Linked DNA regions of Canis lupus familiaris. Each later gene encodes a partner of the first gene's protein in a complex. Links are inferred from orthologs where the notes say so. Each region holds a gene or a part of one and is shown in the gene's direction. Other genes may lie near its edges. The genes, in order: SURF1, COA1 and SMIM20.

Region 1 (7,881 bases):
TTTGACAAACTCAACTGCTTCTGGAACACGAACAGAGGGTTCCAGGTCATGAGCCTTTCCCGTCAGAGAGGAAAGGGCCCCATGGGGACACCCGGCTGCAGAGATAGGCCAGCTCTCTGTGGCCGCTCTCCTCTGCTGCTGGCCTCCCGGCACCCCCGTGTCCCCAACTTCCTTGAGCCCGGCTCTGCTCAGCTACCAGGGATGATGGCACTGGCGATGGCAAAGGGAAACAAGTCCTTCCCTCAGGCGGAAGCAGCCCCCACATGTCAGGGCAGAGCGGCCCTGGCTCCTGTTTTACTTACAAACTGTTAGCTTGGCACTTTGTTGGCAAGAACAAGGTTCTTTAAAAAAATTTTTTTTAAGGAAATGGAAAACTACCCCCAGAGGAAGCTGCTGCCACACCAGCAGCCCCGGAGGTGACACTCACCTTCCCACGCTTGTGAACTAGTGCCTGGGCCACTTCCATCTCTTCTCTGTCCCCAGGGCCCTTCCCTGGTGTGAGCCTTGGCTTCCCGTCCTCGTCTTCTGTCAAAAAGTCACTGCTGCTGTCGCCAGGCTCAGTCCTTCCCAGGTCCTTTCTGGTGAACAACTCGGCTGGAAGGCACGGAGGGACGGGCAATTTCAGCTTAGCTTCACCGTCTGCACAGGGCTGAGCAGGGGGTGGCCAGCCAGGGCCCAGGACTCGAAGTGGAACAGACGGAGGCATAGACCAGACAGCCAGGACCCAAATCTGCAGGAAGTGGGGTGGGGGGGGCAGTCCCACTTACGTGGGTACAGGTCTGTCATGCTGTCCTCACTGTCACTGGCAGCTGCATCGTCCTCGCTGGATGCAGGTTCCCAGAAGGCTTCTCTTGAGTGAGGTGGCCCAGTGCCGTCCATCTGGGCTTCCTTCCTCCTCCTCTTGTGCAGGAGGCAGGCGGGCACATATTCCACACCCTGCTTCTGACACTTTTCATCTGGAAGACAGACCAGCACACTGCCTGGTTCTGTGCCTGCCCCTGTCCTCCAGTGTAGGGCCATGCAGGGGTGGGGCCTTGAGCACTGAACCCCCCAGCCCTTCCCTGGCCTCAGGAGCCCCAGGGAGGGCTGCTGGGCCCTCACGCCGGAGCCACAAGGTCCCATGTAGAGGACTCAGTGAGGCCAGGAGCTCAGCGTGGCAGATCCAGATTGAGCCGAGATGAGGAGCAGGGTGGCACCGACGAGCCTGGCTTCTGAACCCTGCCCTGTGTGGGCATGGCTCCTGTCCATGCAGGCCCCTCAGAGAGGAGGGAGGGGACTGGGCCCCCTGGTCTGATGTCTGCTTCTGCCCTCCTCCAAGGACATATCCTCTGCCTCACCTCTGCCCCACAGGGCCTTGTGGCCACTGGGCTCTGCACCCGGGTCTCCTCTCTGCACTCCCAGCCGCTGGACCTATGAACCACCTACCCCAACATAGGATGAGTCTAGCCTGTGGGGAAACCCAGGACCTCCTTCCCGCCCACACCAAGCAGCCCTCAGTCTCTGCACCCGCGTAGGATGCCTGCTTCTCAGCTGTCCACAGCATCCCTCACTACTGTCCTGAGGTGAAGACTGTGCCTCGTTTCTTCCTGGGAGAAACCCCGCCTTCAGAGTTCTCTTCCTTATCCTGTCTCTGTGTCTGTCCCCAAAGCCCCTGGTCGTCCCAGCACTCCTAAAACTTCTGCCCCTGACCCCTCCACCTGGCTCTTCTCACCCTTCTGGGCTCCTTCGTGGTCAGGCCCAGCCCCATCCCTTCTTCCTTCGCTCCGTGTCGGTGATGTGCACCCTCTGAGCGCTGGCCCGACTTCAATAGCCACCGTCCCCCGACACAGGTTGAAAGGAACATTTCATTTCCTCAGGGGGTCTCTTATCCAGAGGCCACTTTCCAAACCGCCGGTCTTGAGCCAGGAATTGAGGAATCCAGGTGATTTCTGACCTCATTCCCTCACCTACTGATTCTAGCCACAGACAGTTCTGCCTGTCCGCATCTTCCCTACCCACAGTGGTGGTGCCACAGCCCTGCTTCTGTCCTTTCAATGCATCTCCACCTCCCGTGGTCCAGGCCATGGCCTCCAAGACCCCCTGTGGTCGTCTCCACCTCCCTTGCTGACTGACCTCCCCTTGCATGGTGGCATGGAGGCCGTCCTTCAGGAGCTGCGGCAGCCAAGCGTTCTTCTGACCTTGGCTGAATCCCTGCCTCTACTCTCCACAGACAGCCCTCGGCACCCGTCCTTCACAGCACGTAGCAGTCACCAGCCGCCTGCTTCATCCCCACCTCCAGCCCCATGCCTCCCCAGGGCTGGGCCCAGGGCACCACCAGCGGCTGCCAGTGGGTGACTGAGACGCCGCTGCTGCCTTCCAAGGGCGCTTGTCCTGGAGGAGAGAGCAGGCCGTGTCCACCCACGGCTACTTACATTCACACAGGGCTCTCTGGTACCGCTGGCCCTGGGTGTGCCTCAGCACATGCTCTGGGGACTTGTTGATGTGCCGCAGGGTGAGTTTGCAGAACAGCTGGTGCCTGGGGGACAGGGACAGTCATGAGGATCTCAGCCAGCCTGACAGCAGAGGCCTAGGATGGGGCCTGGGCAGCAGGCGGTCCCCTCTGCAGCCGAGGCGGACGAGCACTGGTCCGGCCGGGCTGTGACCTCCCGCGGTTGGCCTGGAACCCAGGCCTGGCCAGCCTCAGCGGCCCGCCCCCGCTCCAGGGATGCGGGAAGACGCGGCGGCCCGGCCGAGCGCGAAGCAGCAGCCCCCAGCGCCCTCTTCCTGTCAGCCCCTGCCCGCAAACAGCGGCGGCTCCACCCAAGTCCTCCCTAGGTATGTGAAACTGGCCCCATTCCGAACCCGAAGGGACAGACCTCGGCCCCACGAGAAGCAAACAGGCCGCGGGGAGGGGCCCGGCCTCCCCCGGCTGTCGGCTGCCGTCGGTACCTCACCACGGTGGGCACGTCCCCTCGGAGCCCGCCCGCAGCGGCCCCGCGCACGTACGGGTTCTTGGTGCTGGGCACGATGTGCGGCTCGAACTCCGCGTAGTCGAAGGCCGGGTTGGCGCGGACCAGCCGCCGGTATTTCTTGCCGCGGGTGTAGACCTCGAGCTCCGGCAGACGGCAGGGCAGCTCGTGGCCGGTGAGGACGCACTTGACCTGCGGGCAGGAGGGCGGGCGAGGCGGTCAGGGGGGCCCGGGCGGCCGCGCGGCGCCGCGCCTCTCCCCCGGCCCGCGGACCTTGTGCGCGCCGGGCTCCAGCCGCAGACTCGGGTGCTGGCGCAGGAAGGCGCGCACGGCGGCCGGAGGCTCGCCCATGGTCAGACCCGCAGGCGGGCGCCGCTCGCACCGCGTGGACCGTGCGCCGGGGGCGGGGCTCGGCGGTGCCCCGGAAGCAGATGCCTCGCGGCCCGGAAGTGCCGGCGGGCGATGGCGGCGGCCGTGCGGTGGCTGGGGCTGCGGGCGGCGGCGGCGGCGGCGGAGGGGCGGGTGAGCGGCGCGGGCGCGTCGGGCGGGCTGGGGGCCAGCGTCCCGGCTTGGGGAGCTCAGCCTGTGTCCCGGTCTCCGCAGGGCCCGCCCCGCGCGGTCAGGAGGAGCGTCCTTGCGGTCCCCCTGCGCCCAGGTGAGGACTGGCTCGCGGGTGCCCCGGGCGCCCGGGAAGAGCCGCCCCCGCCCCCGTCCCCGCCCCCGTCCCCCGCTCTGCCCGGGGGCCGCGGCCTTGAGGGGAGCTCGGAGCTGCCCCCTTCCAGCGCCTGATGGGGTTTGAAGGCCGGGAGCCTGGGACCCGCGGCCTGCGGGCTGCGCGTGCACCGACAGCCGGGAGCGGGGCGCCGCGCGAGGGGGAAGGGTGCTCGTCAGCGCGCTGCAGCCTTTTTTTTTTTTTAAACTGTCCACAAAGCCCGTGTTGCTGACTTGAGACTCACGCTCCGACAACTAAAATATACTTTCTGAGTACGTTGTTCCAGCTTTAAGTTTACGAGCAGTGGAAAGGAAGGTGTTCGAGCGCCGTGAGCCGTGAGCCGCGATCCCGGGTTTTCACGGTTCTGCCTCTGCGCGGGTGCGTCTTAGTGCAATGTATTGTTGTGCACAATGTCGTGCACAATGTAATACATGTGCACATAGTGCGCAGGGAATTGTTGTGTAAAAGGCGCAGGTGGTTACAGGAGTTACCCGGGGTCACAGCTGGTGGCACAGCAGGACTAAGCCCTAGGCCGTGTTTATTCAGTCAGTAAACATCACCGAGTGTGCAGCGTGTGGCCCCAGTTTAGAAGCTGGGCTGGACGCAGGTGTCACTGGTTGGCTGCTGGCCACAGGCTGTGGCCTGTTTACTGTCTGGCAGTAGTGGTGGCGTCTCCTTGAGGGATTGGCTGCTCCCATTCTATTTGTCAAGGGCTTCTGACCCTGGGCCTGTGGTGTTGAACTTCCCAGGGTTGGCCTGGAGGCCAAGCAGGTGTGGCAGTTCTGCAGCTGAAGCACCTGCCACAGAAGCACAAGAGGACTCCTTCCTCCAGTGGTTCCTGCTTCTCATTCCTGTGACAGCCTTTGGCCTGGGGACATGGCAGGTAAAGCCTGACTTCTAGCTCTGGAGGCTCTGAGCTTTTGCCGTTGCTGCCATCTGCTCGGGTTTGTACTGTTCCCACAGGTCCAGCGTCGAAAGTGGAAGCTGCAGCTGATAGCAGAGCTGGAGTCTCGAGTTATGGCTGAGCCCATCCCTCTGCCAGCAGAGTGAGTGTGCAGCTGCCCACCTGTAACTGGTCTCACTTGGTCAGCAGTGGGGGCCTGGCTTCTGCTTGTAGTCCTGACCCTCACATGGGAGCCCCTAAATCAAGTTACCTTACTGGGCGTCCTGACAAACTTAGAAAAATATCTTTGATCCTGGATTTTACCTTTTTTTTTTTTTTTGAGATGCATTGTACCTGAGGCATCCCCCACAGTGCTGATGGGCCCCCTATAGCAGTGACTCTTACCTGATAGGTGAAGGAGGGCAGAGTGTACCCTCATGTCATGTCTTAACATCAGAGCGTTATCTTGAAAGAGTGCTGGAAATGATTCTACAGCGTCTACCCCTCGTTTCAATGCACTGTCTTGGAGCAACAGTCCACAGAGCTTCCCATTCAGGGGAGCAGACGTGTGTGCTGTATTTGTAATAGTGTGCAGGCCTGGAAGGATTTGAATGTCCTGCCAAAACTTGCTTGGTCTCAGCCTCACTTCTCCCCACTCCCATGTAGCCCAATGGAACTGAAAAATCTGGAGTACAGGCCGGTGAAGGTCAGGGGGCACTTCGACCACTCCAAGGAGCTGTACATGATGCCTCGGACCATGGTGGACCCAGCCAGGGAGGCCCGGGAGGCCGGCCGTCTCTCTTCCTCGCCCGAGAGTGGTGCCTATGTCATTACCCCCTTTCACTGCACTGACCTGGGGTGAGTGGGACATGCAGGGATGAAGCAACCTTGGGGAAATCTAAGAGACCCAGAAGGTTTCAGTTTCCTTAAGAGTTTGGAATTAGTACTTGACTTCGCTAAGCCCATTCATTTCAGCTCTTCCTGAGTCATTCATCTGTGTGAAACTCTGAAGCAAATGAAATCAGCCACCTTGGAGACTGTGTAGTGGCCAACACACTAAATGATCATAGTGCAGTACGAGGTGGGGGCTTGTGTGAGGACTGAGGGAAGGGAAAGGAAAGGAACCAAACCCTCACTTGGGTGGAATCAGGGAAGGGTTCCCAGGTGACCACTTGGGCCACAAATGGAGTCAGGAGGGGAAGGGCAGTCCAGGGAAACAACCTGTCCAGCAAGGGGGCACTGTGAGCTCAGCCAGAGCAATTTCCTGGCTTCGGGTGTGGGAGGGTCTCTGCGACCCCACAGGCAGGTCCAGAAGGCAGCTGCTCTTCAGAGAAGCTGCTATCCGAAACCTGGGTGTTGCAGTGGCTGAGGCACAGGGAAGTGGAGATGGGGGGTGGGCACACCTGCATGAGAAAGGAAGACCTTCCCAGTGGCGTACCTGCAGGCTAGCCTCGTCTTAAACCATCTCAGACACCATCCTTGTTCTCATAGGGATGACCAGTGATAATCTTTATTCAAAGATCCTTTCCCGCCCTGAGAGCATACTTCTATTTATTCCAGAGTCACCATCCTGGTCAACAGAGGGTTTGTCCCCAGGAAGAAAGTGAATCCTGATACACGGCAGAGAGGCCAGGTGAGGAGCCTGAACCTTCCCTTGTAAGCAGGGCTGTCTAGAAACCGCCAGCCCTGAAGAACAGTCTTGGTTTCCTTTGTAGGTTGAGGGAGAAGTGGACCTAGTTGGGATGGTGAGGCTGACAGAAACCAGGAAGCCCTTTGTCCCAGAGAACAACCCAGAAAGGAACCACTGGCATTACCGGGACCTGGAGGCAATGGCCAGGCTCACAGGCGCAGACCCCATCTTCATCGATGCAGACTTCCGTACGTTGTGGGCGGCCTGCCTTTCTTTCAGCCCTGGACATGGCCGTTACTTCCTGCTGTCTGCATTTTAGCGTGTGGGAGGAGTGTCTGGTGGGCACTAAGGAAAGGAGGCCACAGGGTCTAGTTACAGGTCCAAGGCCTCACTGAATTTGACAGCTCTAAAGAGCTCTGGAAGGCCCCATGGAGACAGCTGGCCAAACTGCCCTAGGGATTGTGGACACTAAACCCACCGTCTCTGCAGAGAGCACAGTCCCCGGGGGACCCATTGGAGGGCAAACGCGAGTCACTCTGAGGAATGAACACATGCAGTACATCCTCACCTGGTAAGTCCCTGCCTCTGGCTGTTCCCTCCTCTTCCCCTTCTAAACCCTGACTGCTCATCTCTTCAACCCAACCAAGGTATGGCCTCTGTGCAGCTACATCCTACCTATGGTTTAAGAAATTCCTACGTCGGACTCCTGGTGTATGATCTACTGAAGTAGCTCCGCTCCTCTCCTGAATAATCACTAAGTCACAGATTTTCTAAGCTTTCTTTTTAAAGATTACGTGGGTTAGGTATGAGTGGTATGAATAAATCCATACAGTACACATGCCGTGCCTGCCTTTTCTACCTATGCAACGATCTGATCATAATCAGTGGGTTCAAGTACCATGTACCAATGTGTGGGTGAGCTGCTTGTTCAGAACCATCACCTTGCACCCCCCCACATAGCACGTCTTCTTCCCCCAACTCCCGCCCTGCACCAAATCCAAATCCTGGATTTTAACAACTCTAACTTAAGTAACAAGATCAAGTATATTCAACCCCAAATACCCACTGACACTCTCACTGAAAGAGAACCTTTTATTACTTTTATGTACAGAAAATTCAACAGCGTCCACTTAGCCCAGCTTGGTGGCCAGTTCTTTAGCCTTTGCTTTTTCCAGCTTGGCGATGCGAGCCACTGACTTCGGACCCAGGACATTGCCTCCCCAGTGGCGGCGGATCTGCAAAGACACAGGGGTCAGCATCTGCCGTCGAGGCTCCCACTATGCTAGCTCATGCGGTCTTCTACTGGAGTGCTTAGGAGGGCAGAGTCAGCCAGTCCTCTCACCAATGACTTACCTCATCGTATCTGTCATTGTAATTGGTCCGGATGGCTTCTACCAGCTTAGCCAGAGCTCCCTTGTCTTCCCTAAAAAGGCAGGGGAAAATCTGGGTCATTAGCTTCTCTTCTCAGTTACCTTCCAAAAACCAGGGAGGACTTGCTGACCCAACAAGCCCTTTGCCTCAGATACAGTATGACCACATGGCTGGTTCAGGTGAAGAAATTCGTAACCATCATTGGCAAAGATTTAGACAGACACGCTCCTTTAGAAAAGTATGACGTTTGATCTTTAAGGTAAAATCCTAAAGAAATTAAGGGAACTGGGTGTATGGGGGGGTCCCTGACCTCCACTGGCTGTTGGGAGTTTGGAGC
Region 2 (7,995 bases), on another chromosome or scaffold:
GGTGATATTCTATAAAAGATAAAAAAGAACTTTTCCAGGGTTAAAAATCAGGATATCACAGGGGGGTTTGTTTGTTTGTTTGTTTGTTTATTTATTTATTTATTTATTTATTTATTTATTTATTTATTTATTTATTTATTTATTTATTTATTTATTTTCAAATCTTTTTTTTTTTTTATTGGAGTTCAATTTGCCAACATACAGCATAACACCCAGTGCTCATCCCATCAAGTGCCCCCCTCAGTGCCCGTCACCCCCACCTCCCTTTCCACCACCCCTTATTCGTTTTCCAGAGTTAGGAGTCTCTCATGTTCTGTCTCCCTATTACCCACACATTTTCTCTCCTTTCCACAGGGAGATTTCTTATAAACAACCTAGTCAGTATTCAATTTCATGATGATAGTATTTAAGATTAAGAAAGAACACTGATTCCAACCTAGCTAATGTGAATTTCATTAGTGTCTCTGAGGCAAATATTATCTAGTTTATACCTACTTTTATGACAAGATGTAGGGGCATGCTCAATGCTTTGTGTCAAAATTTTTCCTATTCTCTTAGTAGCTGGGCACTTCCTTAATATGATAAAAGATAAAAGATTTACCTTAGTCTCCCAAGCCAGTAGCATACTTAATGGGAAAGTTCTAGAGATGTCCCGTTAAAGGTAGAATAAGACAAAGAAGCCTATACTATGTTCACTATTATTAAATATTTTTATTGGAAATAACTAGCCAATACAGTTAGATATGACAAATTAGTGGTATAAAATTTGGAAAGGATTTTGTCATCATCTCAATGACATGATTGTAATGATAGAAAATCTAAAAGACCCAACTCCAAACAATAAAATCACTTAGTTAGAATATTAATAAGCAGAAAATGATACTTTCGTGTATATGAACTACCATACGTAGAAACTCTAGTTTCATAGTTCTAGGCTGCTGCTGAGAGAGACACTAGACACGGTGGTTCCATCCTGTTGCTGTTAAGTGCATTTCTTAAAGCAACCATTTGACCACTTAATATCACCCCACAACTGACAGCACTCTAGTCAACCGTCTCTCATCTCTCCACCTCCTACCCCTGCCCTGGATCCTTAGAAGTTAACAGGTAGCAAAACAGATCCTTTCCTTATATATAGGAAAGACAGAAAGAGAGAGAGAGAGAGAGAGAGAGAGAGAGAGAGAATCCAGATAAGGATACTTGTGGCTCTAAGAAGTAGAATCCCTGTCTCAACAACAATAGCTAATAATTTTGGGCACTTACAACATTACTAGCGCTACCTAAACTCATTTTATCTTCACCTCTATCAGAAAATAAGGAAACGTATTAGATATCCCCATAAGAACTTCAGAAAGAGGGTGAGCTCCAGGTTTAAACGACATGAGATTACACTTGACTAGTCCGGTCATGTAACACATCAAATTTAGGGGACCCACCAATGCCGAGACCCTACTTTTTTGGAGGAAAGGTACCTGGACTTCAAACTTACGTGAAAAGAAAAAAAAGTCAATAATGATGGTAATAGTGGCGATAATCATGTGGGAAACAAAGGCAGAAGGAAAATTAATTCCCTCCCTACTTGCAGCCCATTGACGAGTCCTTGAAACGGGCGGAGTGACATTCTTCTACGGGCTCAGCGGCCCCCATGTTGGCTTTGCTAAGGGCAAAAGGGCAACCTTGGCCTGACCCGCCAGGACCCTGCAGGTCTTCTTTAACATATAAAAATTCCTTTGGAAACTTCCTTTATTTTTATTCTGGAGTCAAGATACATGTTAGCAACCATCTTCCAAGCACAGGACCTATGGATACGTATCTGGCGGGGGGGTGGGGGGGGTGGGGTGTCTTATGATCAATGTTTTCTTTTTTTATCTTTTTTTTTTAAGATTTTATTTGTTTATTCATGAGAGACACACACACACAACACGCAGAGACACAGGCAGAGGGAGAAGCAGGCTCTACGCAGGGAGCCTGATGCGGGACTCGATCCCACGACCCCGGGGTCACGACCTGGGCGGAAGGTGGCGCTAAACCGCAGAGCCACCCGGGCGCCCTAAGGGTTTATTAGACAATAATATATGACCTTTTCCCAACAATAACTAACGCCTTCAAGGTCCTGGCAACCTTGTTTCCAGAATTCCTTTGAAACTTACAGACTTAGAGACTATCGCCCCCCACCCCAAGTTGAAGGTGTATAATTACTACCCCTCACGACCCCATGCAGCTTTCTGTCCACAGGTCCTGTCAGTAGACGTTTAATGAAAACCACCTCTTGGGGATCCCCGGGGGGCTCAGCGGTTAAGCACCCGCCTTCGGCCCAGGTCGTGACCCCGGGGTCACGGGATCGAGTCCCGCGTCGGGCTCCTGCGTGGAGCCTGCTTCTCCCTCGGCCTGGGTCTCTCTCTCTCTCTGTGTCTATGAATAAATAAGTAAAATCTTAAAAAAAAAAAAAAAAACCCAAACCCACCTCTTTTGCACGGAAGTCCTCTCAAGAATTCTTCCTCAGCCGAGGGCTTCCCAGGCCGCCATCCTCCTACGCGGTGACGGCAGGACGACCAACAGGGCGGTGGGCACGGCTGCGGCGTACGACCGCGGAGGCCCAGACGCCACCTGAGCGCTTTACATCCTTGGAACAAACGCACCGGGTAAAAATGCTGTTACCGTTCCTCGCGCTACTTAACTCAAGTCGTCTACGTTTTTCTTTTTTTTTCTTCTTCTTCTTCTTGCCCTCGCATTCCCTGGAGCGCCGTAGGCATTTCGCAGCGATTGGATGGATAAGACTGTCGTGCTGCCGTGTGTCAGGCGAAGGCGGCGAGTGGGCTCCGCGGGGGCTGCCGCAGCGGCGCGGCGCGGGGCGGGACAGAAGGGCGGGCTCTGCGGGGCCCACCTCGCTCCCCGGGCGGGGCCGAGCGTCCGCGGCGGCCTCGGCCCGCGACTCCGACCTGGCCCGGCGTGCCCCGCCCCCGCCCCCGCCCCCGCCCCCGCCCCGGCGCGTCCGGACGCTCTAGCCCGCGGGGACGCCGCGCCGGAAGTCTCCGCTGCTCCTCGCGGGGCGGGCCGGCCTGGGGGCGCGCGTACCCGCACTTCCGCCCCCGGAAGGAAGGCAGGCGCGCGCTTCCTGCGGCGCGCGGTTGCGGCCCGGAAAGGTCAGCGCCCCCGCGGCTCCGAGCCTCGCGTTCCTTTCACCCTCGGAGACGTTTGTCGCCGCAGCCTGCACGGTTGCGTGTGTGTGTGTGTGTGTGTGTGTGTGTGTGTGCGCGACGGGGCTGCCGGCGGGGGTCTCCTCCCGGGGCTTGGTCGCGGGGGCAACCCGCCTGCTGCCTGCGTGGTGTCGGGGCCCCTGTGGGCGCAGCGCCCTAGGAGGCTGCAGGGGGCTGCCGGGTGCTGCAGGAGGCTGCCAGGGGCTGCAGGGTGCCCCCCTCGCCCGCCTGCCCCGGGGTTCGGGGGTTCGGGGCCGCCAGCAGGTGGCCCTGCCCCGCCCTAAGCTGCCCTACCCTGCCCTGCCCTACCCTGCCCTACCTAGCCCTGTCCTACCCTACCCTGCGCTGCCCTACCCTGCCCTACCCTGCCTGGCCCTACCCTACTCTACCCTACTCTACCCTGCCCGGCTGGCCCTGCCCTACACTGCGCCGCCCTACCCTACCCGGTCCTACCCTACCGTACCCTACCCTACTCTGCGTGGCCCTGCCCTACACTGCGCTGCCCTACCCTACCCGGTCCTACCCTACCCTACCCTACCCTACCCTGCGTGGCCCTGCCCTACACTGCGCTGCCCTACCCTACCCGGTCCTACCCTACCGTACCCTACCCTACTCTGCGTGGCCCTGCCCTACACTGCGCTGCCCTACCCTACCCGGTCCTACCCTACCCTACCCTACCCTACTCTGCGTGGCCCTGCCCTACACTGCGCCGCCCTACCCTACCCGGTCCTACCCTACCCTACCCTACCCTACCCTGCGTGGCCCTGCCCTACACTGCGCCGCCCTACCCTACCCGGTCCTACCCTACCCTACCCTACCCTACTCTGCGTGGCCCTGCCCTACACTGCGCTGCCCTACCCTACCCGGTCCTACCCTACCCTACCCTACCCTACCCTGCGTGGCCCTGCCCTACACTGCGCCGCCCTACCCTACCCGGTCCTACCCTACCCTACCCTACCCTACTCTGCGTGGCCCTGCCCTACACTGCGCCGCCCTACCCTACCCGGTCCTACCCTACCCTACCCTACCCTACCCTGCGTGGCCCTGCCCTACACTGCGCCGCCCTACCCTACCCGGTCCTACCCTACCCTACCCTACCCTACTCTGCGTGGCCCTGCCCTACACTGCGCTGCCCTACCCTACCCGGTCCTACCCTACCCTACCCTACCCTACCCTGCGTGGCCCTGCCCTACACTGCGCCGCCCTACCCTACCCGGTCCTACCCTACCCTACCCTACCCTACCCTGCGTGGCCCTGCCCTACACTGCGCCGCCCTACCCTACCCGGTCCTACCCTACCCTACCCTACCCTACTCTGCGTGGCCCTGCCCTACACTGCGCTGCCCTACCCTACCCGGTCCTACCCTACCCTACTCTATCTACCCTGCGTGGCCCTGCCCTACACTGCGCTGCTCTACCCTACCCGGTCCTACCCTACTCTGCGTGGTCCTGCCCTACACTGTGCTGCCCTACCCTACCCGGTCCTACCCTACCCTACTCTACCCTGCGTGGCCCTGCCCTACACTGCGCTGCTCTACCCTACCCGGTCCTACCCTACCCTACCCTACTCTGCGTGGCCCTGCCCTACACTGCGCTGCCCTACCCTACCCTGCCCTACTCTACCCTGCCAGGCCCAGTCGGCCCTGCCCTACCTTGCCCTACCCTGCCTGGCCCTCCCCTCCCCTGCCCTACCTGGCCCTACCTGGCCCTGCCCTACTCTACCCTACTCTACCCTGCCCGGCTTGGATGGCCCTGCCCTACCCTACCCTGTCCTACCCTACCCGGCCCTACCCTACCTTGCCCTACCCTGCCCGGCCCTGCGTACCTGAGAGCACATTTGTGAAGAGTGGGGCGTCCCCTCTGAGCGGTGGAATCGGGCACTTTGTTGATGGTCCTGAGTTACAACCCTGTGAGGAAGACCCTGCCTCGATGATCATAGAGAAGAATTTTCTGACAGTTGGTCATGGTGACTTTAGTCCCCATCACTCTTGAATTCCATGCAGGGTTCTGACAGTAGAAATGACTAGATTGTTGGAGACAAGGACATATGAGCATGTGTGAGCGTCAGTCGGTGTGTCGTGTATAATATTAAAAATCCGTAGATTCTTACACTTTGATACTTGTTCCTTGAATGTTCCTCATTCTTACTTGTGCTTTATTTCTAAGGCACTTTTTTCCCCCTCTATTTCATATTTGCATAGAAGTAACAAACCGGGCAGCCCAGGTGGCTCAGTGGTTGAGCATCTGCCTTTGGCCCAGGACGTGATCCCGGGGTCCCAGGATCCAGTGCTAGGTCGGGCTCCCTGCATGGAGCCTGCTTCTCCCTCTGCCTGTGTCTCTGCCTCTCCTCTCTGTGTATTCTTGTGAATAAATAAAATCTAAAAAAAAAAAAAAAAAGTTAACAAACCTCTGCTTAAACTCTGCACATAGAAAATCCATCTGATCGTGTTATTCCCATGCTCACAATCTTACCGGCCTTCCTGTTGATTCAGGGCAATGCGGATTCCTTAGCCCGGCTTCCAGACCTTTCAAGGTCTCCTTGCTGATGCTGAGTTTTTCAGTCTCCTTTGATGGAAAATACGCCAACACACACACCATATGCTCCAGCTACAGTATGTAGCAATTTCATTACTTTGGGTGTGACAAAGTTTTGCAATGGTTTACCTGCCTTTTGAAGTTTATTTTTCCATTTTGTCAGTTTATTGAATTCCTATAATTGCCAGGGACTGTCCTAAGAGCTAGGGATACGCTAGAAAGAAAATCCTTTTAAGAAGTAACAGCTTAATTGAGATAATAGTTCACATACCTGTAGCATTTACCTGTTTAAAATATACATTGAGTTTTAGTATATTTACAAAGTTGTGCAGTCTGTAATCAATTTTAAAGTATTTTCATCACCCCAGAAAGAAGCCTTGACCCATGAGGAATCTTCTGATTTTTTCCCCTACTCCCCCGAGCTCCTACCCCTATGCAGGTACTAATCTGCTGTCTATATATATGCCTATGCAGGCATGTTGTAACTTGTATCAGCGCTTCATTCCATTTTACTGCTAAATAGTATCTCATTGTATGGATATACTACCCTTTATCCATTGGTCCGTTGGTAGACCTTTGAGTATTGGCCATTATGAATACCGCTGCTAGGAACGTTCATGTCCAGGTTTTTGTGTAAACATCATCATGTTTTCATTTCTCTTGGGTATATACCTAAGATTAGAATTGCTCAGTCATATGGTAACTCTATGTTTCACATTTTGAGGAACTGCCAGACTTTTCCAAAGTGTCTATTCTGTTATATTCTGATTGGCGGTATATGAAGGTTCTAATCCTTTCATGTTGTCGCCAGCACTTGTCATTACCTGTTTTTTTTGTCTTTTAAAGATTTTATTTATTTATTCATGAGAGACAGAGAGAGGCAGAGACACAAGCAGAGGGAGAAGCAGGCTCCATGCAGGGAGCCTGACTTGGGACTCGATCCCAGGTCTTCAGGATCACGCCCTTGGCTGAAGGCCAGTGCTAAACCGCGGAGCCACCTGGGAGGGTAGCCCTAGATTACTTTTTAAGCAATTACTGCAACCAACGTGGGGTTCAGACTCACAACCCCGAGATCAAGAGTTGCATGCTCCACTGACTGAACCAGCTAGCTACTCCTGTAAGAGTTCTTTGTATATTCCAGGTCCTGTATCAGACATGTGACAAGTCTTGTAGATTGTGATATAATTCTTTTAAATAAAAATCACATGAGGTTAATTTTTACTCTTCTTGGAGACCAGGTTATAGGTCTGAAGGGGTGATGCAGAGAGTGAGTTGAACCATAACTGTTATGTGTAGAAAAGACCAGGCCCAGGAAAACATGCTGTCAAGAACCTGTGAGCAGCATTTTATTTTTATTTTTATTTTTTATTTTTATTTTTTTAAAGATTGTATTTATTTATTCATGAGAGACCAGAGAGAGAGAGAGAGAGGCAGAGACACAGGCAGAGGGAGAAGCAGGCTCCATGTAGGGAGCCTGACACAGGACTCAATCCCGTGACTCCAGGATCACGCCCTGGACTGAAGGCGGCGCTAAACCGCTGAGCCACCAGGGCTGCCCACAGCATTTTAATAGTTGAAAAATGGAGCAGGGGGGAACCAGTTTATGTAATTTGTCCATTCTCTATTGAGTTTTGTCTTTTCCTTATAGATTGGTAGAAGTTCTTTGTGTAGAGATATTAACCCATTGGCTGCTAGATATGTGGCAGATATTTTCAGTCTATTTGCCTGTTAACTTTGTTTTGTATTTCTTACTATACTAATGTTTTGCATTTTTGTGTTGTCAGGACTGCCCATCTTTTCCTATAAAAGGCTTCCGGGTGGCAGTTTGGGCTGCTGTTGTTAAATCATGGGGGTTATGGAAACTGACACTGCTTAGTGTGATGTCTGAGTCCCTGATACTATAGTTAGCTTTATAGTTTCATCGTTTCAGACACTGGTGTCTCTCCACCCTCTGCCTTGAAAAATATACTATAACCTGCTTTGTTGGTTCATTTAATTTTGTATTTCATTTAATTTTGTTTTTCAGATAGACTCCTAGAAGCTATTTGCATATTCTCTTACTCATTTTTAATACATTGCATTAGATTTGCGAGAGTCATATTGGACAAATAGTAGGTACTTAACTTATACCAGCAGAAGTTTATTTGAAGGTTTTTGTGTGCAGGGCTTGAATGTAAGTATGCTGGTTCTATATTGATTGGGGCATGCTGGAGATAGTAGTTTAATAAAATCCTGATAAAATTATTTTCATACTTTTCTCATTG
Region 3 (7,860 bases), on another chromosome or scaffold:
GTGCTTGGCTGGAGTCGGCACACAATAAGGATCTGCCGATTGAATCTGTAGGTCAGTGGGGTCTTCAGAAACGGGGAGAACCTGGGGTTCAAAGAGATGAACCTGTATTGCTTAGGACTCAGTGGCAAGCAAGAGGTAAGTAATTTTTGGTGTGACGATGCTAGCAAGGTGATGAGTGTGTCTGTATAGGTTGTGGCCTGGCCGCTGGTCAGACTAAAACGTTTACATGAACATCAGGGGACAGAGAAGCCCTGCGGTTACTTGCTGCTTGGAGAGGGGGTGGCTCATCTGTCCCACATTAATCCATCTGTGCCTTGGAGGCACTGCGGACAGGAGGTCATCCTGGCGGTCTCTAGCCTGGCTTTCAGAGGCTCCTGTGTGTAGGGCTCATGCAGCCACCCTGCCAAGCTTGCTTATGGAGACGGCCAGGTCTCAGGGAGGAGCCTGTCAGATTAGGAATGAAGACTAAACCCTGGTCCTGGCTCAGCTAATGGTGTGTGGCCCTAAGAGAAGTTTCTGGATCTCAGTGACCTGAGCTATAGAGTAATCCTTGACTTGCAGCCCGTGGATCTGTCAAGGAAACGAAATCCCACTCGCGGTGACTTCATCTGGAACTCCTGTTGTAAACAAAAACAAACAAACAACAAAACAAAACAAAATAAGTCAAACTGGCTTCAGCGAAAAGGGAACTTCATTGGCTCCTATCACTGAGAAGTCCAAGGGCAGCTCCTTTTCCAGGCACAGCCCGCTCCAGGGGCTCAAAGGTAATGTCAGCACCTGATTTCTCTCCATCTCTCGGCTTTGCTTCTGCTGTACTGTCCTCACGCTCAGTCTCCATATGGTGGTGCCCAGTGACCCCAGCGTCTGATCCCCTCAAGCTCAAATCCAGATTTCCAGCAGCTGGGAGACACTATGGTTGGCTCAACGTGGGTGAGGTCATGCAGCCAGGAGGATGCGGCTTCGCTGGACGACCAGGCCTGGGCCCTGTCCCAATCAATCCCTGTGGTGTGGCAGCTTGGTCACTCTTGGCGATCCCCTGACCTCTCAGAGCTGGAAAAAAAAAAAAAAATCATTGGGGTGGGGGTGGGGCAGAGGAGAAGCCCAGTTTACCTCCTCGACTGAATGGGAGAGGAGTGGTTTGCCAAGATGCTCGGGTGCTATTAACAGGAAGACAAGTGGCCTCCCGGTTGCTAACATGACAAAGGCGCGCTCACCTGGGGTTTTATATCACGGGACACAAAGCATATGCATCCCAGCTCCCCTCTCTGCTGGAGGAGTCCTCTGTTCTCACCCTAACAAGCCCCCGCAAGCCCCGAGGAGCTGCTGCCAACCCCTGTAGTCATCTGTCTTCCTCCTGGAAGTCCCGCGGCCGCAGGACCCTATCACTCATCCGCAACAAGCTGCGCCGCCTCCTCAGTCATCTTTTTCTGTATCTGTCCTGTCTCTATCCACGTGGCAGGATCCCGGGGAGCAAAGGGTCACGGCTTATTCATCTTTGCGTCCCTCGGAGCACTTTGCCTGGTGTTTGGGGTACGGCAGAGGGTCCATAAATCTGCCGACGGATCCAACACCTGATTTATCTGCTCGCGGAACCTCGGAGGCAGACGGTAGCTTGGCTCCGCGACAACGCTCCACGGAGAGGACACCTGTGCTGAAAGACCGTACGTCTCTGCAGACTAAATAATACCGCCGGGGTCCGGATGACTAGCCTCTTGCTCCCGGCCCGGGCCGCTGGTAGCATCCTTATTCATAAAGGGTTGAGTGAAGGCCCAAGAAACCTTGATCTCCGCCGCTCCGTACCCCTGGGCACCTCGCCTGCCCCCACAGCGCCGCCTACCCCCAGGAAGGACGGAGGACGGCGACCCTAGGAAGGGGAGGAGCACGTCCAACCTCAGCGGCCCCACCCCAGGCAGTAAGGCACAGCCCCAAGGTCCCATCACTGGGACTGGCCGCGGGCTCCCCGCCTTGCCCGGATCCGACTCCTTCCCCATCCTCATTCGCAACCCAGACGTGCAGCAGAGGGAACGGAGCGGGCAGGCGGAGGCAGGACGGATCTACTTGCCGTCCCGACGTTGACACGAGACTCCTCCCCCCTAGTCCTGATCCCGTAGTCCCGGTGCTCGGGTTAGACGCCCCCTGCAGGCCATCCGGGGCGGGCGCGCGGCCCCGGGCCCCTCACCCCCTCCAGCAGCCCTCCAGGAGGCGCGGTCACTCGTGAAGCCGCGCTTCCCTCACCTGTAAAATGGGCCCACAGCCGGGGGGACTGAATCAGCGAGCCGCGGACAGCACGCAGCTCGGGGCGGAAAGTCACCGAAATCAGATAAGGGTGGGGAGAAGGGGAAAGCGCGGCTGGTCGAGGGGAAAGGGTGACCCAAGAGGTCCGGAGAATGGCGGGGGGAGCAGCGGAGGGGGGGCCGGGCCGCGGGCAGGGCGGGGGTTGGAACAGGGTGTGCACCGCCCAGGGGAGCAAGAGTCCCTCTCGGCCGGCCCAGCCCCCAGCACCGCGGCCGCCGCTCCGAGGCCCCGCCCACCCACAGGCCCCGCCCCGTCCACGCTGTAGGCCCCGCCTCCGGCCCCGCCCACCCGCAGGTCCCACCCCAGGCTCCGCCCACCCCGACGGGCCCGTCCCTCCCACTCTGCAGGCCCCGCCCCCGACCCGCCCACCACGCAGGCCCCGCCCCGAGCCGGCCCACCCGCAGGCCCCGCCCCCGTGCCCTGGCCCCGCCCCCAAGGCCCGGAAGCGAAAGCCGCTCCGCCTCTTCCGAGCGGGGTCACGGCCCGGCGCGCGGGGTCTCGCGGGGTCTCGCGGGGTGCGGGCAGCCCGGGCCCAGCGCCATGTCCCCGAACCTGCGCACGGCGCTCATCTTCGGCGGCTTCATCTCCCTGCTGGGCGCCGCCTTCTACCCCATCTACTTCCGGCCCCTGCTGCTGCCGGAGGAGTACCGTGAGTGCCCTGTGACCCCGCGGGGGCCCGGCCTCGGGGCGCCCGGCTCGGGGCGGTGAGGAGCTGGGCGCGGGGGGCAGGCGGGCCGGGCCGAGCCCTGCGCCGAGCGGCCGCGAGACCCCGCGCCTCCCCCCGGGCGCCCTCCTGACTTGCCCGGTCGTCGCTAACGTGAGACCCGTTTGGCCTCCGTGGAGACTCCCAGGTGGCCTCGTCGTGGTCCGCAGCGCTTACCTGTCCGCGCTCTCGGGGAGCAGGGGCCGGACGCTCACGTGCCAGCCAAACGAGCGTTGGCACTTTTTTTTTTAAAGATGTATTTATTTATTCACGAAAGACACACACACTGAGTGGGGGGGGGCGGGGAGCAGAGCCGCAGGCCCTGCCGCGGGGTCACCCCCCCCCCCACAGCCCGAGGCAGGAGCCCCAAGCGTTGCCACTTCTGACGCCCACGGCGTCGCTTTGAGGTCGTCGTCATGCCCATTTGACAGGCGGGAACACTGAGGCTCCGAGAGGTCGTGCGACAGGCCCAAGGTCGCACAGCCAGTGAGCTGCGAGGCAGGTCTTCCCTCCCCGGAAGGCGGGGCTGGTGATACTGGAGGGAGGCAGATGGAGCCCTGATCATCCTGAGCCTGAAGGTGTCTTTACGGCCCTTCGTTGCCACTCCCAGGGACAGCTTTGAGTGGAAATGTTTCAGACCTACACTGTTAAACCTGGGTGTTTTGAGTTTTTCCCCACATCTTTTTTTCAGCTCCTGCTGTCTTCCTTCATTTTAAAAGCGGGTTGCTCACATGACAATGCCCAATACCCCGGGAGTAATTTTCCTCCTTAATCATTCAAGTTCTATCATCCTAAAAGCCAAACTCTCCTTCCTGGAGACCTATACCTCAGCGAGGATTAGCACTTTGATACATCTGAAACCATCTGTCAGAGAGAAAATATTAGGCATTAGAGGCTCATTTTGTTCTCCAGGAAACCTGAATCATCTTGAAGATGGAAGAGGGCCAGCCCTGCCCCTGGAGACCATTAGCAGAGGCTGAGAGCTTGGCGATGTGAAGGCAGCAGCTCTGTGTAAATGCTCTGCCCGTTACAAATGCTACATTTGGTTTCTGGAGGCAGAGCATTTTAAGCACACACCCGCATTGCCCTGGAGCTTCTTTCATCACCCAGGACCGAGGTGGCCTCTGCATGCTGCCTCCCAGCCTGCGTCCACCTACCCGTGTGCCTGAGGATAAACGGGGGGGCGCTTGAAGCCCCGCGTGGTCTGGTTCCGTCATCCTGACCCGATCCTGCCCCAGGCTGTTTTCTTACTAGGGCATCTAGGATTGAACTTGGGACAAGGGGCTCTGCTCCAGATCCCACTGGAAAGGTGTCTGCCAGGAAGACAAACGCAGTGCCTCTCAGCTGGGGATGCTTTTGTCCCCCAGGGGACATTTGGTTCCATCTGGAGACATTTTTGCTTGTCACAGCTGGGGGTGGAGTGGGGTAGTGTGAGTGTGCTACTGGCATCCAGTGGAGAGAGGCCAGGGATGCTGCTAAACCTCCGCAGCGCACAGGGGAGCCCCCCATGACCTAGATTACCCAGCCCAGGTGTGCATGGTACCAAGCTTGAGACATGCTAGATCAGATGATGAAGGCGTGGACTTGTGCCACGCGTCCTGGCAAGTCTTTTTTTTTTTTTTAACTTTTTTTTCAAATATTTATTTATTCATGAGAGACACAGAGAGAACGGCAGAGACACAGGCAGAGGGAGAAGCAGGCTCCATGCAGGCAGGGACCCTGATGCAGGACTCGATCCCGGGACCCCAGGATCATGCCCTGGGCCGAAGGCAGGTGCTAAACCGCTGAGCCACCCAGGGATCCCTCTGACAATAGTCTCATAGGGATACCCTAGAATCTGTGGTTGTCTGAGTTGCTTGAGACAAAATCAGGGCTTTTAGGTGCATGTTTACTGAGTGTGCCTAAAATGTCTGCATTTTAACTCGAGAGCAGTCAGTCTATGCCTGCCCACCTTTCTGGCTCAGTTTTAGTTAATTGGCCGACTCTTATTTGAGACTCATAGCTGATTCTTTCAACAGGTAAATACTAAACAGCTAGTGTTTTTTGAGAGTTTATGTCTGCCTCTCTTCCCAGCACCTCATATATATATTAACCCACATAGTTTTCATAACCATTTGTTGTAGCTGCTGTGTGATCATCACCCACATTTTATACGTGGACACACTGAGGTCTGGGACAGTTAAGTGACTTGTACAAGGACCCACAGCAGATGGGTCAGACCTGGGATTGGAACCAATGTGCTCTTTCACTACACGAGGGCACCATTTGGTTTCTGAGGCGGTGAGAAGGGAAGCAGGGCAGGTGAGGGTCTAAATCCCTTGCAAGATAAGGGTCTTAAGGTGAGTTACGTAACCTGCCTGAGCCCAGTCTGTTTCTTCATCTGTAGCAGTGGACTTTGCAGGCCTTAATCTATAGGTGTTGGGTGTATTAAATGAGATCACAGGTATGGAAACATCTAGTATAGTTTTATATTAGGCATCCCCTAAAAATGTTTAAAAAAATAAGGAACCAGGGCACCTGGGTGGCTTAGTGGGTTGAGGATCTACCTTTGGCTTGGGCTGGGGTCCTGGGGTCCTGGGATTGAGCCCCACATGGGGCTCCAAGCTTCTCCCTCTCTCTGCCTGCCGCTCCCCCTGCTTGTGTGTTTGTATGCGTGAACACACACTCTCTCTCTCTGTCAAATAAATAAAATCTTAAAAAAAAAAAAAAAAGAGGAGCTATAAGGCAAGGATGTAAGGAGATTTAAGCCCGGCTGGCTGACCTGTCACTAACCTGGGGTCCAGGCAGGTGAGGCATTGGTGACCGGGCCATGGAAGCCTGGCCTGTCTGTAGGGAGGATGGAGCTGCAATTCATTTCAGCACCTTGGACTAGTCTTTGCATTTTTTATAACCTGGATTTTAGCAACGGCTGTGTACCTGGTACTGCGTTAGGTGTCGGGTATACGTGACTGTACAAGATGGTCAGAGCGCTTCTGTCCGTCTCACTGTCCCCACCGTCATCCAACCCATTTCCTTCACCCGCTCCTTAGACTCTGAGCTGGTCTCCCTGCTTCTGCCAAGCCCAAATCCTGATTCCCTACCCAGCAGTCACAGTTGCTAATTTTCTCTGGTTGCTCTTTTGTTGCCAATTTCTACTTTACTTGCATTTGTGGTTAAAGAATGAGGACTATATGATTTTGATTCCTTGATATTGGTCAGGATTTGCTCTGTGGGCTTAATACAGGTCAATTATGGAAGTGTTCCTTCTGTGCTTGAAGTGGGTATATCTCATTGTTGGGTACAGAGTTCTGTGTGCACCGATTCCAGACCAAGCTTCTTAATTCTGTTACTTAGGTATCCTCAGGCCATATTATTAGGTGCACACGATAGAGAATGTTCTGGAGACTTTTTTCCAATTATCATTGTATAAAGGGTCCTCTTTATCCCTCCTGTTCCTCTCCAGGTCTATCATATCAATATTAGAATTACCAGCATTGTTTTGGTTAGACTTTCCTGGTATATTTCTTATATTTGTGCCTGTCTGTCTGTCTGTCTTTCTTTCTTTCTTTCTTTCTTTCTTTCTTTCTTTCTTTCTTTCTTTCTCTTTCTTTCTTTCTTTCTTTCTTTCTTTCTTTCTTTCTTTCTTCATTCATTCATTCATTTATCTATTTATCTATTTATTTAAAGATTTTTTTATTTGAAAGACAGCAGGGGGAGGGGCAGAGGGAGAGGGAGACAAGCAGACTCCCCCCACCCCCACCAGAGTGGGGAGTCCAATGTAGGGCTCGATCTCAACCCGCAGATCATGACCTGAGTCGAAATCAAGAGTCAGATGCTTAACTGCCTGAGTCACCCAGGCAGCGCTTGGCATCTGTCCTTAAATCTCATAACCAGCCTAACTTGGATTTTTTAATCCAATCTGGTCATTTCTTTCAACTGCTGGATTGAGCTAATTTTCATATATGTTTACTGATAGATTTATTTGCCCTGTCTTGTTCTGTGTTTTCTATTTATCCTTCTATATCTACAACTCCTTCTTTTCTCTCCATTTCTGCCTTCACGGTTTCTCTACTTTTTACCTCCTCTGTTTTTTTTTTTTTTTTAAGTTTTACATTCTTTTTTGATTATTTTGTGATTACTGCTTAAAGTTAGTCAGTATCCTTATCCTCCTATACAAAGACCTGAGGAGAATGCCTTGGTCCTTGGACCGCACAGCACTCCCGGTGTTTATTCCTCTCCAGTCAGTACCATCAGGGTTTTATAGTCACTGATTGTTCCTCTTTGCCCCTATTCTTTACTCAGCAAACCCTACTTCTCACTGCTTCCCAGTGTCCGTTTTCTTCATTCTGAGATGCATCTGATATTTCTTTCTTGAGCGTCTGTAACTGGTGGAGTTCATCCTCGTTTGTCAGAATATGTCCAGAACTCCCAATTCTCCGTGTCTGTTGAAACGTCTGCTGTCATGCCATTTGTTCTTTGAATTTGATCATCCTGCTGGCTTGATTAAAATACTCCCACAGCCCTCTGCTGTCCCCAGCGTCTAGCCAGTGGAGGCTCATGGAAGTATTTTAATCGGGAGAGTGAGGCGACCGGATTCAGTCTCACCCAGGGTCAAGGCTGGGAACAAGAATTCCAGATAGAAGGAGGCTGTACTTGCTGTGGTCACAGGAGAGTACGGAGAGGTGACTAGCCTGAACCAGTGGTGGTCATGGGACTGGAGGAGGGGAGCTATATTTAAGAAGTAACGCTACAGGGTGAGGGAGGAGACAAGGGAGAGTGACAGCCTCCAGGTTCCAGCAGCGGAGGAGATGGTGGCGCGCTGGTCATTAACTAAGCAACACAAGAAGGAACTGGTTTTGGGAGTGAGGAGGATGAACCAGTTC

Evidence for each region.
Region 2: SURF1 (region 1) and COA1 share a complex: the UniProt entries of both Homo sapiens proteins name them as parts of the MITRAC (mitochondrial translation regulation assembly intermediate of cytochrome c oxidase complex) complex. The link is inferred for Canis lupus familiaris from reciprocal best matches to the Homo sapiens genes SURF1 and COA1.
Region 3: SURF1 (region 1) and SMIM20 share a complex: the UniProt entries of both Homo sapiens proteins name them as parts of the MITRAC (mitochondrial translation regulation assembly intermediate of cytochrome c oxidase complex) complex. The link is inferred for Canis lupus familiaris from reciprocal best matches to the Homo sapiens genes SURF1 and SMIM20.

The regions. Positions count from the first base shown.
Region 1 is NC_049230.1:49,841,641-49,849,521, reverse strand, and holds SURF1 (surfeit locus protein 1), read left to right. Parts: upstream 1-3,557; 5' UTR 3,558-3,603; intron 3,604-3,904; exon of another isoform or gene 3,905-4,038; intron 4,039-4,409; 5' UTR 4,410-4,543; intron 4,544-4,623; 5' UTR 4,624-4,677; coding exon 4,678-4,706; intron 4,707-5,209; coding exon 5,210-5,401; intron 5,402-6,103; coding exon 6,104-6,176; intron 6,177-6,258; coding exon 6,259-6,421; intron 6,422-6,662; coding exon 6,663-6,744; intron 6,745-6,820; coding exon 6,821-6,890; 3' UTR 6,891-7,012; downstream 7,013-7,881. Other genes in the region: SURF2 (surfeit locus protein 2), read right to left, coding at 1-20, 428-594, 768-956, 2,412-2,515, 2,929-3,140, 3,222-3,299; RPL7A (60S ribosomal protein L7a), read right to left, coding at 7,304-7,408, 7,527-7,596. UniProt on the Homo sapiens protein: Component of the MITRAC (mitochondrial translation regulation assembly intermediate of cytochrome c oxidase complex) complex, that regulates cytochrome c oxidase assembly.
Region 2 is NC_049239.1:6,613,723-6,621,717, forward strand, and holds the start of COA1 (cytochrome c oxidase assembly factor 1 homolog), read left to right. Parts: upstream 1-2,623; 5' UTR 2,624-2,642; exon of another isoform or gene 2,643-2,878; intron 2,879-3,058; exon of another isoform or gene 3,059-3,143; intron 3,144-5,021; coding exon of another isoform or gene 5,022-5,033; exon of another isoform or gene 5,034-5,048; intron 5,049-7,995. UniProt on the Homo sapiens protein: Component of the MITRAC (mitochondrial translation regulation assembly intermediate of cytochrome c oxidase complex) complex, that regulates cytochrome c oxidase assembly.
Region 3 is NC_049224.1:85,085,090-85,092,949, reverse strand, and holds the start of SMIM20 (small integral membrane protein 20), read left to right. Parts: upstream 1-2,758; 5' UTR 2,759-2,835; coding exon 2,836-2,944; intron 2,945-7,860.